4 linked regions of the Canis lupus familiaris genome follow. The main gene of each other region encodes a partner of the protein of the gene in region 4 in a complex. Links are inferred from orthologs where the notes say so. Each region holds a gene or a part of one and is shown on either strand. Other genes may lie near its edges.

Evidence for each region. The genes of interacting proteins can lie anywhere in the genome.
Region 1: SNRPD1 (region 4) and CWC15 share a complex: the UniProt entries of both Homo sapiens proteins name them as parts of the minor spliceosome. The link is inferred for Canis lupus familiaris from reciprocal best matches to the Homo sapiens genes SNRPD1 and CWC15.
Region 2: SNRPD1 (region 4) and PRPF6 share a complex: the UniProt entries of both Homo sapiens proteins name them as parts of the U4/U6-U5 tri-snRNP complex. The link is inferred for Canis lupus familiaris from reciprocal best matches to the Homo sapiens genes SNRPD1 and PRPF6.
Region 3: SNRPD1 (region 4) and RBMX2 share a complex: the UniProt entries of both Homo sapiens proteins name them as parts of the minor spliceosome. The link is inferred for Canis lupus familiaris from reciprocal best matches to the Homo sapiens genes SNRPD1 and RBMX2.

What each region holds. Positions count from the first base shown.
Region 1 is NC_049242.1:6,122,947-6,126,551, reverse strand, and holds part of CWC15 (spliceosome-associated protein CWC15 homolog), read right to left. Parts: intron 214-3,605; coding exon 95-213; intron 1-94. UniProt on the Homo sapiens protein: Involved in pre-mRNA splicing as component of the spliceosome. Component of the PRP19-CDC5L complex that forms an integral part of the spliceosome and is required for activating pre-mRNA splicing.
Region 2 is NC_049245.1:48,324,005-48,327,572, forward strand, and holds part of PRPF6 (pre-mRNA-processing factor 6), read left to right. Parts: intron 1-220; coding exon 221-397; intron 398-799; coding exon 800-933; intron 934-1,697; coding exon 1,698-1,789; intron 1,790-3,568. UniProt on the Homo sapiens protein: Involved in pre-mRNA splicing as component of the U4/U6-U5 tri-snRNP complex, one of the building blocks of the spliceosome.
Region 3 is NC_049260.1:102,438,429-102,442,033, forward strand, and holds part of RBMX2 (RNA-binding motif protein, X-linked 2), read left to right. Parts: intron 1-1,438; coding exon 1,439-1,568; intron 1,569-3,151; coding exon 3,152-3,329; intron 3,330-3,605. UniProt on the Homo sapiens protein: Involved in pre-mRNA splicing as component of the activated spliceosome. As a component of the minor spliceosome, involved in the splicing of U12-type introns in pre-mRNAs.
Region 4 is NC_049228.1:66,472,929-66,477,231, reverse strand, and holds the start of SNRPD1 (small nuclear ribonucleoprotein Sm D1), read left to right. Parts: upstream 1-1,405; 5' UTR 1,406-1,522; coding exon 1,523-1,536; intron 1,537-4,303. UniProt on the Homo sapiens protein: Plays a role in pre-mRNA splicing as a core component of the spliceosomal U1, U2, U4 and U5 small nuclear ribonucleoproteins (snRNPs), the building blocks of the spliceosome.

The sequences.
Region 1 (3,605 bases), on a different chromosome or scaffold from region 4:
ATCAATAAAAAGGGGTTTTTTAGAGGCTTTATATAATAGTTTGGCATAAAATGCACAATCTGCAATATACATCCAACTGGGTTGTGTAAAGTACCTTCTTTTAACTTTGAAGTTGGCCTGTGGCTGGGATGGACCAGTGAGATTAAGGAGAGGGTTTCCACTCAAAATGTTTTCCATACGTATTCTTTCTTCTTCAGCTTTCTGTTCTTGTTCCTGTCAATGACAGAGGAGGACTCATTTACTTACATTAATTCTGGGGTCAATCTTCTTTCATAACTCAAATTTTAAAAGATTGTTAGGATTTTATGATGGAGAAGGAATAAGCATCAAGGTAGGTTGTTTATTGTTTTGTTTTTTAAGATATAAGAAATACCAGAAAAGTTTCACTTACCAAAATAATTTGGCCTTATAATAAATAGTTCATGCTTGTCTACATTCATTAGTCTGACTCTGAAATTCTATGAATGCCTATTTAAATGTTTTCTTTCTTGAAGTACATCCAAAATTAATTGCTTATTTTAAGAGTCCATCAATAATACATTCTAGTCATTTAAGGGTATGTTAAACATCAAAGAAACACATTTAGCAAAGCTATTACTTTGATTTTTAAAGATGGGCTATATAGAACTATGATTAAAAATAATTTTATTTTGAATTATTAACAGTGTAAATTTGCACTTCCAGGACTAGTGATAAGTTATTATTAGCCCATAAGTAGCTAAAACTATCATGTAAAATATTATATTCAGTTAACATGCATTTCTACTAATCTACCCCACGTTTATCCATTTTGTTCTTATGATTTGTTACTAACTTTCCATTTTCATACCTCTCATCCTTCATCAGTTATGAGCTTGTCTTTCTTTACTTTTAATTTAGCATTAATTTCTTTAAACTCAAATCAGCCTCAGTTTCATTCTTAGAATTAGAAACATAAAATGCCTACAATTCTTAGCCATAGCAACTGCTAGATCTACCTGTTCATGCTCTCTTAAACCAAAAATAAATCCCACTTTATTGTATTTTAGGAAGGGGAAAACTGATGACTTAATAGATCAAGGAAAAAGAGACCTTCAATTTATTTTTTTTTAAAGATTTTATTTATTTGAGAGAGAGAGCATGTGTGCAAAGCAGCAGGGAGAGGGAGAAGCAGGCTTCTCGCTGAGCCAGGAGCCTGACATGGGGCTTGATCCCAGGACTCTAGCCTCATGACTGGAGTTGAAGGTAGATACTTACCTGACTGAGCCACCCATGCATCCCCAGGGACTTCCAATTTAAAACGAACCTAACAGGGGCATCTGGGTAGCTAAGTTGGTTAAGCATCTGACTCTTGATTTCAGCTCAGGTCATGATCTCAGGGCAGTGAAATCTAGCCCTGCATCAGGCCCCACCCTCAGAGGGAAATCTGCTTGGGATTCTCTCCATCCCCTGCTCACACACACACTCTCTCAAATAAGTAAATCTTAAAGAAAAAAAACAAAGCCTAAGAAAGTTCAAAATTTTCCATACAGGTTAATGATGTTTCATTTTAATATCCAAATGTGAACAACAGATTTCATTTTTAAGAGGCCAAATGACTGGAAAGTGAGAAGATGCAATAATCAGGGAAATAAACAGGTAAATTCCTTTAGGTCACTACTCAGACCTTAAGCAAACAAAATCAGGCACATGTGTTCCATCACAGATTAAGAACAGATAGCTTTCTAAAAACAATGTATTTTTTTGCAAATTATATTGATATTGAAAGTGAAAAGACATTTCTCTGAGATTCTAAAAAAATAAGAGCTCAAACATACAACGTATCCATCTTATAATAATGTATGTGATATAATAAAGTTCTGGCCATTTTATATTTGGAATATTACTTCCTTTAGAGTCCTGGCTGGCTGCCACATAAACCACTGGGAAAAAAAGGTGCCAACTCTTTCCATATTCAAGTCCCAGAAACATTATGGTTCACAAACACAGGCTATAATCAGCTTGCAGATGAAATCCAAACCACCCCATTGTTGTTAACAAAATTTTAGTGGAACACAGTAAACTCATTCATTTCTGCATTGTCTATAGTTGCTTCCACACTTCAGTGAGCAGAACTAAAGAACCACACTAGAGATTGCATGGTCTGCAAGCTAGAAATATCCTGAAATATTTACCATCTGGCCCCCTTTACAGAAAGCTTCCTAGCCCCTGACACAGGCTAATTGGTTTGAAAATGTTATATTGGGACACTTCAAAAATCAGCCGCTAGAAAACCAGCCAGGGAAACAGAAACCAAAGTAAAACTGTCCTTCAACCCCTAGGAACACCAATATATTTTTGTACAAAGAGAGTAGAGGAATCTTACAAAATTCCAAGACCTTCTGTCTAAAATATTTATCCTTTTTAAGGGTCAACCAAATGCACCTATATTTCTTGTCTCTATGTATCCAGAGCTGTTAGGCAAGTCAAAAGAATATGGAATACAACTGCCCTCTAGTGGTGGGCAAGTAATATCTACTATCAGGAAAGTTCTTATAATTCTTTGATTTTTAAAAATTAAATATGACAATTATAAGCTATTATGGGAATCACGCTATCCAATGCCAAACTTTGATGGAAATTGTATTTAAAATATTCTTCTTGGGCAGCCTGGGTGGCTCAGCGGTTTGGCGCCGGGTCAGCCCAGGGTGTGATCCTGGAGACCTAGGATGGAGTCCCGCATCGGGCTCTCTGCGTGGAGCCTGCTTCTCCCTCTGCCTGTGTTTCTGCCTCTCTCTCTGTTTCTCTCATGAATGGACAAATAAATTCTTTGAAAAATAAATAAATAAAATATTCTTCCAATTTGAATTCCAGCAATCTTCTACTTCTCTGGATTCCTCACATGAACCCATGTCAGTCTTTCCCCCCTCTTTAAACAGAGTAATTCTTGGTTCAAATGAAAATTTACACAGAAGCTCATAAAAAAAAAGCTGAGCTGTTCTGTTTGAAAGTGGAGACAGACATCTCCATCTAAGTATCTCATAATGTGTCAAATTCAACACGTTCCAGAGCTCATCATCTCTTTTCTCTCCACCTAAACATGTGCATCCTTCTGCCATCCCCTGTATTAGTTAATGTCAACAACATCTACCCAGGAACTGAGGGTCATCTTTGTTGCCATAGCTAACCAGTCACTTTATCTGGTCAATTTTACCTCCTTGACAACTCTCTCAGCATCTATTTACTTCTCTCAATTCCAATTCTATTATGCAAAATTATCTTAATTGCATATGAGGATTATTGGAACAGCTTCCTCAATCAGTTTTCCCAATCCTCTATACTTCTGCCAGGGTTATCCTTCTAAAATGCATAGCCAAGTAGATGACTATTAAATTTATTATTTATATTTTTCTATGTTACTGAAATATTTCATAATAAAAAAATAAAATGCATATCAAATCTTGTCTCCTGCTAAAATCAACTAGCTCTTCATGGCCTTCAAGACAGAGTCCAGGGGCACCTCGGTGGCTCAGGGGCTGTCTACCTTCCACTCAGGTCGTGATCTTGGGGTCCTGGGATCGAGTCTTGTATCAGGCTTCCTGCAGGGAGCCTGCTTCTCCCTCTACCTATGTCTCTGCCTCTCTCAT
Region 2 (3,568 bases), on a different chromosome or scaffold from region 4:
CCCTGCTTTCTGCCAAAGGATGTGAAACACCCTACAGAAGTTCCTGTGTGGGCAGGAACTTACCCAGTAGGGCAAGTGACCTGTCAGGGGAGCTGTGGTGTGAAACCCGTATCGTGAAGGTGCCATCTGGCTGGAGCCAGTGCTAGAGGCGGTCCTGCCGTCGGGACGTCTCAGGGGGCGGGGGTGCCCGGGGCTGTTGGATGGCGTGTCTGCCTCACAGGTGTTCATGAAGTCTGTGAAGCTGGAGTGGGTGCTGGGGAACATCGCAGCTGCTCAGGAGCTGTGCGAGGAGGCGCTGAGGCACTATGAGGACTTCCCTAAGCTGTGGATGATGAAGGGACAGATTGAGGAGCAGGAGGAGCTGATGGAGAGGGCTCGGGAAGCCTACAACCAGGGGGTGAGCTCAGCTGGTTCCCGGGCGGGAATGAGAGGCCCGGTGGGCAGTGACTTGCTTAGACCCCAGCTGGTAGTGGTCCCCTCGCTCAGGCCTGCACCTGCCGTCTGCAGAGCTGTGTGCACTGCACTCAGTGAGGCCTGGGTTACAGGACCCCTAACAGGGCCGCTGTGTACGCACCCCACGTGCATGCACGCGCAGCACAGCCAGGTAGTGAGAACACACGCACCCTGTGTGCACTTGTTCACTGCATTGCCACACACATAAACCCCCACCCCACGCTCACGGGTAGGACTCTGTGGACACGAGCATCCCTGACTCCCCCAGCCTGAGGGGCCGGCCACAGCCATCACAGCTCCTCCAACACCAGCCGAGCCCTCTCTTACTTGTCTCTGTTGCTTGCAGTTGAAGAAATGTCCCCACTCCACCCCTCTGTGGCTTTTGCTTTCTCGGCTGGAGGAGAAGGTTGGGCAGCTGACCCGAGCTCGGGCCATTCTGGAAAAGTCTCGCCTGAAGAACCCAAAGAACCCCGGCCTGTGGTGAGTCCTGGTGGACCCTGCTCACCCCTCCAGTGGGCTGTCTTCCCGCTGTTGCGCATGTGGGGCCATTCGTGCAGCAGCATTTCCAGCCCAGGCTCCATGGCAAGGGTGGCAGCTGCTGGCCATGAGGAAGCACAGTTGCCTTGGGAGGGTTCGTCCTGGACACTCGTGGGCCCGTAGTTAGTTGCACGCAGTTTAATTTGTGCTCTGGTAGAAGGTGACTGGGGAGCCGGGAGCTAACACCGGGGGGTTGAGTATGGGTGCAGCCAAGAAAGGGCTTCCCAGAAGGGGTGGCTTTTAGATGAGGCTTTAAGGGATGAGCAGGAGGTTGTCAGGTGAGGCTGGCCTCCTGTCCGTAGTAGAGAGCTTGCAGGGCTGTGCCACGGAGGGCTCATGGCGTCAGGGCTCAGCGTGGTGGTTGCCAAAGGAGACCCGGGAGCATGGGTAGGTCCAGGATGCTGCGGATATGCTTCACTGTCCCAGCAGCACTAGCATGCCAGCCTGTGCCAGCCTGTCCTTGTCCTACCTGTATTTACTCGCACCCGTGTGATGCCGGGGTCCCAGGCCTCAGCTGTGGTGGCAGCTGCCTCTGGTCCTCACGGTGGGCGGGCTCCAGTGCCTTGCTTCTCCAGTAGATGAGCTCTGCTTGGCAGAGCAGGGAGCTCCAGCCGCGGTGGCTTCCCAGGAATTCCGGGAACGTAGCTAGGCTTGTCCCGGGGCTTCCGTGCGTGGGTGCTGGACCCGCCCTGTGGGCCCTTCCTCAGGTTGGAGTCTGTGCGACTGGAGTACCGTGCAGGGCTGAAGAACATCGCCAACACGCTCATGGCCAAGGCACTGCAGGAGTGCCCCAACTCCGGTAAGTGGCTTCCTGCCTCCCCACATCCGGCAGGCAGTGGCATTTCCTGAGGGAGAGGGTCTCAGGAATCACGCATGCCGGTAACGTGCTTTGTCTGTCAGAGCTTCAGCTGCACTTGGTCTCAGGCATTTGCACTGCGTCTCTACTCCTGGCGTGAGGAGTTTGACTTTGTTCTCTGGTGTGCCCCCGTTACTTTTTCTTCTGAAACTTAACTTCTGGTATCTTACCTACATCTAAACACGTGTGTAGGGGCGCCCGGGGGGGCTCAGCGGTTGAGTATCTGCCTTGGTGCTCAGTCCGTGGCCCTGGGGTCCCGGGATCGAGTCCTGCGTCGGGCTCCCCACAGGGAGGCTGCTTCTCCCTCTGCCTGTGTCTCTGCCTCTCTCTCTGCGTCTCTCAGGAATAAATAAAATCAATCAATCAATCAATCAATCAAATCTAGTTTAAACATATGTGCAGAACGAACATATTTGGAGTTTAATAAACAAAAAAGGATATTAAACATCACCTATAGGTCACCCAGCAGGCTCAGCGGGTGGAGCGTCTGACTCGTCATCTCTGGGTTGTGAATTAGAGCCCTATGCTGGGTGTGGAGATTACTCAAAAATAAAATCTAGGGCAGCCCCGGTGGCCCAGCCGTTTAGTGCTGCCTTCGGCCCAGGGTGTGATCCTGGAGACTGGGCATTGAGCCCCGTCAGGCTCCCTGCATGGAGCCTGCTTCTCCCTCTGCCTGTGTCTCTCATGAATAAATAAAATCTTTTTAAAAATTGCAATCAATCAATCAATAAATCAATAACTAAATAAATAAATAAAATCTTGACACCCCCCAAAAAGTCTTGTGTAAACCTACTCCTGAGAAACTGTTAGTTTTAGCTTACTTGTATTATTACAGCCTGTCCCTGCACACAACTGAAGTGCTACTATGTGTTTAGTGTTGTGTCTTGTTTTAAAGCTGAAAGGGGGGATCCCTGGGTGGCGCAGTGGTTTAGCGCCTGCCTTTGGCCCAGGGCGCGATCCTGGAGACCCGGGATCGAGTCCCACGTCAGGCTCCCGGTGCATGGAGTCTGCTTCTCCCTCTGCCTGTGTCTCTGCCTCTCTCTCTTTCTCTGTGACTATCATAAATAAAAAAAAAAAAAAAAAAAAAAATTAAAAAAAGAAAAATATGTTTAAAAAAAAAAAAAAATAAAGCTGAAAGGGTTGTTTTGTTTAAGATGTTACTTATTATTTATTTGAGACCGAGAACACGAGTGTGGGGAGGGTTGGAGGCAGAGGGAGAAGGAGGGTCTCCACTGAGCAGGGAGCCTGACCCGGGATTGATCCCAGAATCCCCGGACCACGACCTGAGCCGAGGACAAATGCTTCACCAGCTGAGCCACCCAGATGCCCTTAGAACTGAAAGTTTTGTGAGAATTTTCCATCATCATCAAATCTTTAGGAATGTATATTTTTTAGTGGCTTCATAGAACGCACCCGTGGATGTGCTAGAAGTATGCCACTCACCTGTCGGCCAGTTTGAATCTTTACTGGCGTTTCTGATTGTTTTGTTGTAATAAATCCTTGCGTGTGGAATTACAGCGTTGGTGGGAATGAATCTTATAGGTTTGGGGTTCTTGCAACCCAGTCACCGCTGGAAAGTCGTCTGGCCTGTGCCGTCAGGGCTGCTGTGGGGCAGACACATGGGAGGTCATGGCCGCGGGCTGCGGGCACCCAGGGTCGGCCAGCCCCTCTCGAGGTAGCCTGCACGTGGTTGGGCCGTTTCTGAGAGCAGAGGTGGGTGTG
Region 3 (3,605 bases), on a different chromosome or scaffold from region 4:
ATTTATGAATCTTTAACTTATCTGGAATTTAACTTTGTATAAGGAATAAGGTAGATTTTTTTTCTATTTTCTATTTAATTTCTGCTTTTATCTTTATTAACTCCCATCTGCTTTCCTTAGATTTATTTTCTTTTATATTCATTCTGCCTTTTTATTTTATTTTTAAATATTTTATTTATTTAATGAGCGAGCGAGAGAGCGATATCTTGAGTAGAGGGGAAGGGCAGAGGGAGAAACGGACTCCCTGCAGAGCTGGGAGCCCAACACAGGACTTGATCCCAGGAGCCTGGGATCATGAGCTGAGCTGAAGGCAAATGCTTGACTGACTGAGTCACCTATGTGCCTCCTATTCTACCTTTTTAACAGTAAAATTCTTTAAGGTTGCAGATTTTCCCGAGCGTAGTTTTAGCTGCATCTTGTAAGTTTTGGTATATATTCTCATTTGTGTTATTTTTTAAATAGTCTACCATTGATTTTTTTTTCTTTATTTCAATTTCTCTTTCATCCAGTTGTTAGGAGAATAGGCTTCAAGTTCTAGCTTGTAGGGTATTTTTTATTTAAAATATTATTTCCAGCTGTATAGCATTGTGATTGGAGAACATGTTCTGTTTTTGGAGGTGATTGAAGTTTATTCTATAGTCCATTTTAATACATGTTTCATGGATTATTGAAATGGTACTATTTTTGTAAGATTCAGATATATATATCCACTAGTTTGACATTAATATTTAACAACATAATTGTTATATTATAGTTTATATTAATGTTATAATTATATATTGATATTAATTCCTCTGACCTTATTTTTGTCAGCTTTATGTGTTATAAACTTAAAGTGGTATGCTAAAATATAACTTTTGTTATTAGTTTCTCTTGGAATTTCTAAGAGTTTCTTAAGTTAAAATTTTTGACTTGTGAACTTATGTATAAAGTTTCATGACATATTTTTGTAATATATTAGGACCTTTTTAACAATTTTTTTTTAAATTTTTATTTATTTATGATAGTCACAGAGAGAGAGAGAGAGGCAGAGACAAGGCAGAGGGAGAAGCAGGCTCCATGCACCGGGAGCCTGACGTGGGACTCGATCCCGGGTCTCCAGGATCATGCCCTGGGCCAAAGGCAGGCGCCAAACCGCTGCGCCACCCAGGGATCCTATTAGGACCTTTTTAAGTGTAAAAGAGCTCTCTTAGTCCTGCTTAAGGGGAACTATTTTTTTTTTTTGGCCTTGAATTCATCTTCGATCTTAATATTACCACTCATTTTGTAATTGGGTGTTCCTGCTCTGTCCTTGTCTAATTTTTATTTTTAACTTTATGTCATCTTTTCCTAGATGTATCTCTTGTATAGATTATATTATTTGAATTGTTTTGTCATTCAATCTGAAAGTTTTTGCATTTTAAATCAATGGTGTCTTACTCTTTTATAAAATAAATAGATATGGGGAGATTGTTAACATTAATCTGGTGCGGGACAAGAAGACTGGGAAATCCAAAGGATTCTGTTTCCTTTGCTATGAAGACCAGAGGAGCACAATTTTGGCTGTTGACAATTTTAATGGAATCAAGGTGAGTGTGTTCACTAAGCAGGATCTGGCTGGACTTTTCCTGTATGTAAGAGTTCGATTTAATTTCCCACCTGATTGCCCCAAGTTCAAGGACAGTACTGGTCACCTGGATGTGTTGAGGGTTGTAGAGGTGTGGGGACATACTGACCAGGAAATGATCCCAGGAAATAATTTCATTGGCTTATGACCCTGCTGACACTTGTTCCTTTTCCTCATGTTCATCTTCCCAGGAACATAGGTATCATGTCCCTCACCCCCAACCAAGCCCCTGGTTTCTCACCTTTCCATTCTCACACCCTACTCTCATCTCTGATGTATTGGGCAGTAAAAAGACTAGCAAATACTGCTCTTCCATGCTATGCTGTGTCAGAGGATTTGGCGCTCTCTTATGGCTTCATCCTCTAAGACATAGCTCTGTGTGTCTGTCCTATGTCTCCACTGACTTAGCATTACTGGGCCTTGGAAATTCTCTAGATGAAGTCTGATGACAAATTCTACAAAAGTAACTCATTCTGAAGTTTTCCCTTGTCTGTTCCCTCTCAGAACACTCTTGGCCAGAGAAGGTGGTAGACAAGTCTGGCTTGTCTATGCTCTCCCTGGTTCCTCTGCTTATTTAGGAAAAGCACTGCAGTTAGATAAGCATTTTTTATAGGTTTGGGGGTGACTTTGGACTTGGAGAATTTGTCACTGATTGCAGCAGTATGGAACAGCTGAAAATCTCCATGAAAGGGGGATTTTCTAAAATGTTTTCAAAAGGGGAATAGGAAAGATGACCTTTAAGTTCAGGCTTAAAGGTAAGAATGAAACTCTGTTCTTGTATAGGAACAATAAAAGCCAGACATAAGCTTTTGGATGATTTTTTCCTATAGAATAGGTCTGTATCTGCCTGACTATTTTTAAGTGAGGGGCTAATTTTTTGTTGTTCACCCAGAGAGTTGTGATCCACAGCAAAAATAAGTGTGAGACAGTTGTTCCAGTATGGTGGGGGTAGAGCAAGGCGTGAGGGCTTAGGAAAACAAATTCCTTCCCCTTTCCCAAATATTGGTCTGCCTTGACCTCATCCTAATTGCTGTATCAAGAAAACAGCTGTAGTGCTGCACTCGCTTCAGGAGTTCTTTCTAACTGCCAGGCCATGGTATGTTTTACTGCAAATTAATGTGATTGAGGGTAATTCATTGTTTATGCATGTAAATTCTTAGTTTTCCCTGCTGCTTGTGCTTTGGGGCAGTACTGCTGAGCATTTTTTCATTTAATTGCATATGTAGAACCTGAAGGTTATTGTGTGGCACCCTGGGGTAAACTGAGGAGGCTGCCTGGTAGAGTTGCCTCAGGGACTCCAGCTGCCTACCTGATTGCCCCAGGGAGGGGCTGGGCAGATTATTATCTAGGTATATGTGCTGTGACATACCAGTTGGGCAGGTCTGGCTTAGATATTTCCCCAGAAATAGAATTAGCAGGAAGGTAAAGGGTGTAGTTTGAACCATGGCTTTCTAGGGTGTGGTTTGAACCATGGCTTTCTGCAGCTGGGTTCAAATAGTTCAGAAGTAGGGCCCTCTCTGCTGAAGCATTGCCTGTCTGTCTTAGATCAAAGGAAGAACTATCCGAGTGGATCATGTGTCTAACTATCGGGCTCCTAAGGACTCAGAAGAAATGGATGATGTGACCAAAGAGCTCCAAGAGAAGGGCTGTGGGGCTCACACCCCCTCCGTGAGTTCATCCGAGGGTTCCGAAGATGACAAACCCCCAAAAAAATACAAAAAAGGTAAAGCACTAAGACCTGAGAGAAGATTCTGGGTAGTCTTAGTGTTTGCTCCTCCTAGTATTCACTGAGAATTGGTAATCAGTTATTAGGTGTGAAAAGGAAGGGTGTGGGGAACCGTATAGTAATTGGGAAAGGAGAGGTATCAGTGGAAGACTAATATCATGGGCTGAATTCTGTTTCCCAGTTCATATGTTGGAGTCCTAATCCCTCGAGACCTTAGAATGTGACTGTATTTGGAGGTCGGGTCTTTAGAAAGGTAATTTGGGGATGAGGATT
Region 4 (4,303 bases):
TTAGATTTATTTATTTATTCATAGAGATGCAGAGGAAGAGAGAGAGGCAGAGACACAGGCAGAGGGAGAAGCAGGCTCCATGCAGGGAGCCCGACGTGGGACTCAATCCCGGGTCTCCAGGATCGCGCCCTGGGCTGCAGGCGGCGCTAAACCGCTGCGCCACCGGGGCTGCCCAGAAGGAGTGAAATTCTTGAGAAAAATGAAAGATGGGAGCCAGACTACAATGAAGAGGAACTTGCCTTGGAAAGGGGCAATGATACATCTACCTTTCTAACTGGAAGAAAGTTCTAAAAGGATGGCTTCCGGTCTTCTCGAAAGAGGAAATATTAGCAGAGAGTGATCTTAGGAAGACACTGTAAAAGGTTTCAGAGGGAGAGTACAGGGAAGGTATGAAATAGTTTGTGAGCTTATTAGAGACAAGAGCTCTCAACAATGTAGGTGCCATTCTGAGGTTTGTGACCAAATTTTTTTTAAGATGTTATTTATTTAGGGAATCCCTGGGTAGCTCAGCGGTTTAGCGCCTGCCTTCGGCCCAGGGTGTGATCCTGGAGACCCGGGATTGAGTCCCACGTCGGGCTCCCTGCATGGAGCCTGCTTCTCCCTCTGCCTGTGTCTCTGCCCCCCTCTCTCTCTCTGTTTCATAAATAAATAAAATCTTTAAAGAAAAAGATTTTAGGGATCCCTGGGTGGCGCAGCGGTTTGGCGCCTGCCTTTGGCCCAGGGCGCGATCCTGGAGACCCGGGATCGAATCCCACGTCGGGCTCCCGGTGCATGGAGCCTGCTTCTCCCTCTGCCTGTGTCTCTACCTCTGTCTCTATCTCTGTGTGACTATCATAAATAAATAAAAATTAAAAAAAAAAAGATTTCATTTATTTATTCATGAGAGATACACAGAGAGAGGCAGGGACACAGGCAGAGGGAGAAGCAGGCTCCATGCAGGGGAGCCTCATGCAAGACTCCATCCCAGGACCCTGGGATCACGACCTGAGCCAAAGGCAGACACTCAACCACTGAGCCACCCAGGTGCCCCTGTGACTAGAATTTAAAGTAAAAATAATAAGCTAAACTGTGTGATTTTCTTCAGGTACATTCCCGGTGTTGGAGCTGAATTCGCATAATTTTTTGGGCTTTGTCAGAACTACATTTCCTTCGCGAGTGTATTTACTGCCCCGTAACACAGGACTCTGAGCCCGCGGCCCGCGGCCCGGCCTACTAATTGGATCTGAGCTCCCCAAATCCCCGCCCTTACTGGAATTTTCCTCCTGGACCGGCTCTCAAAGCGCTCAGCAGGCGCAAGGCACACCTCCAGCCGCCAGGGGCCGCCGTGAGGTTGGGCGCGGCCGGAAGGGAGTGCGGCTCCGGGGGCCTCGGCGCTTCCGCCTCGCGTTCTCAGCGTTCCTCGCGCCCTTTACGTCCGAGCCCGAGGAGTAGGCGTTTCCGGCCATTCATACTCCTAGTTTTTCGGGCCTTGGTAGTCCGGTTCTGTACATTAACGGGCTGAAAGAGCGACGGCGCCGCCAGGATGAAGCTCGTGAGGTGAGGGGGTAGCCCGGCGGGGTGGGGGCTGTGACGATTTGGGCGGCGAGCGGGAGGCCGCGCTGCCCCTTTGCGGGAGGCGGGAAAGCCGCGTGCGCGCGCGGCCTGCTAACGGCCTCCGGCGCCCGCCGCTCCCGCCCCAGCTTGGCCGCGCCGTCGCGGGCGCTGCCGCCGGGGCTTCAGACTCGTTGGCGCGCGGCCCCCGCGTGTCTTCAGGCTAGTGGACGTGAAGGCCTGGCCATTTCTTCCCCCCTAGTGTCTTAGAGGCCTGCAAGGCGGCGGCGCCAGGCTTACAGGCTTCTGTTTGCGGTTGGTAGAAGACGTTCGTTCCCTTAGAACTCGTACTCTAGTCTAGATGATTTTTCTGGCCGGTCTCAGCCCTCAGGACCCGCAAAGACGACTAAATATACGCTCCCGGAGAACGTGGGAGACCTAAGGAAAATTGTACGCGTTGCATTAAGTTAACGAGCTTTTATTTATTTATTTTTTTTTTAAAGATTTATTTATTTATTCATTAGAGACACACACAGAGAGGCAGAGGGAGAGGCAGGCTCCATGCAGGGAGCCCGACGTGGGACTCGATCCTGGGTCCCGGGATCACGACCTGAGCCAAAGGCAGCTGCCCAGCCGCTGAGCCACCCAGACGTCCCGTTAAGCAGCTTTTAGAATGTACTTAGAAGCTGCAGGGGTTCATCAGGAAATGACGAAACCCATTTCCGAAATGTTTTAAATCAGGATTGGACTTCTGGTTTTTTGGTCTTTCCTTTTCCTTTTCCCTTTCCCTTTTCCCATTTCTTTTCTTTTCTTTTCTTTTCGACTCCTTACAGTTAAGATTACCCAACTCCCATTTCCCTTCAAAATAGGACTTTAGGGATCCCTGGGTGGCTCAGCGGTTTAGCGCCACTTTCGGCCCAGGGAATGATCCTGGAGACCCAGGATCGAGTCCTACGTCGGGCTCCCAGCATGGAGCCTGCTTCTCCCTCTGCCTGTGTCTATGCCTTTCTCTCTCCCTGTGTCTCTCATGAATGAATGAATGAATGAATAAATAAATAAATAAATAAATAAATAAATAAATAAAATCTTTAAAATAAAAAAAAAGAAAACAAAATAGGACTTTAATTCAGGAAGAATCTCCCAACGTCTGGCAGAGTCACTTTACGTATTTGTGGCTGATTAGCAGATGATCACTATTCTCTTGTGTTTAAACTTCATTGGTTAGTTGAGCCTATTGGTTTATGATTTGAGTAATTCATTCTAAACTATCTGCAGATAAGGTTTTGGTGTTTTTCCTTGAGGCAGGGAGCCTGGAACATAGAGGAGATTTCTGATTAAATTAGTTATAAATGTAGCTAGTCTTTTGTCTGAATCAAGATTAGTCTTATTGCGATCAATCAATTATTGGGCACCTATTACACTAGGCACAGGCAGTGGATTTTGTTTTTTTAAGGTGTTCTTTGAACTATTTTGCGAAGACAGACAAATAGACAATTTCTAGTGTGAATGAAATAACGTATAAAACCCTCAATATGTATTCGGAGTTCTTAAGGAAGGCATTTAAGGTTAATTTTTAGTCGAACTGTAACTTTGGAGAAAAACACCCCAGAATTTAAAGTATATTTTCACAATTTCTCAATCCCTACCTATTTGAATCTACTTATAGTTTTGTGTCACACTCTTTAGAATCCGTTTATCTCATTTAAAGAAACTGCATGTTGTGACACAATTTTCCTGAAAATTTTAAAGGCTGTACTGAACCCTATTCTTTGTTTAGACTGTAGAAATAAAATTTCTTCTTACTGGTGAATATGTTTTGTTCCAAGAAAATGAGTATTTGTCTAACTGCTTTGCATTTTTGGTTGACTTATTTCTGTACAGTGGTTGATGGCACTATCATCCTTACTGCCACTCTAACCAAAAACCTGGGAGTTTACTTTGACATCTTTCTTAATAATCTCATAAAATTGCCAGGTTTTCACAGTTTTTACCTACCTCATAGAAGTATCTCTCATTATCCAATTTTCTTTAAAAAAATTTTTTTTGTTTATTTATTCTTGAGAGACAGAGAGAGAGGCAGAGAAACAGGCTTCATGCAGAGAGCCTGATGCCAGACTCGATCCCTGTTCTCCAGGATCACGCCCCAGGCTGAAGGCAGGCACTAAACCGCGGAGCCACCCAGGGATCCCCAACATTATCCAGTTTTCTTTGGTTTTTGAATTCAGTTAGTGTGGATTTGGATCCTGAAGGATACTATGCAAGCGGTATGTTTTTGGGTGCTATGAAGGATATTATCTGGATATTTAAGTTTCAGTAAGAACGAATTCAAAGGGAAGGATTCATCGGAAAGAATTCAAATCTGTTTGATTTCTGAGCTGGGATAACTCTTTTCTGCCAAGATACCTTTGCTGTCATTCATTCCAGTGGCACCACTGAGTCATAAAAGCTTTCTTTTATTTCCACCCAAGGTTTTTAATTTTACTTCTTGAGGTGACTATCTCATGCAATGAAATACAATGTACATTTGCCAGTTTTGAAAAATTTACACATCTGTATAACCCAAACCCCTGTTGAGATGTGGAATATGGAACATTACCGAAACCTCAAGCCCTTCCTAGTCAGTCTCTGTTCTCATACCCCCAGTGCAATCAATTTCTTCTATCGTAGTTTAGTTTTGCTTGCAGTAGAATTTCATATAATGTAGAATCATGCAGTATGCATTTTTTTTGTGTAAAATTTCTTTTATGCAGCATATTTTTGAGATTCTTCCACA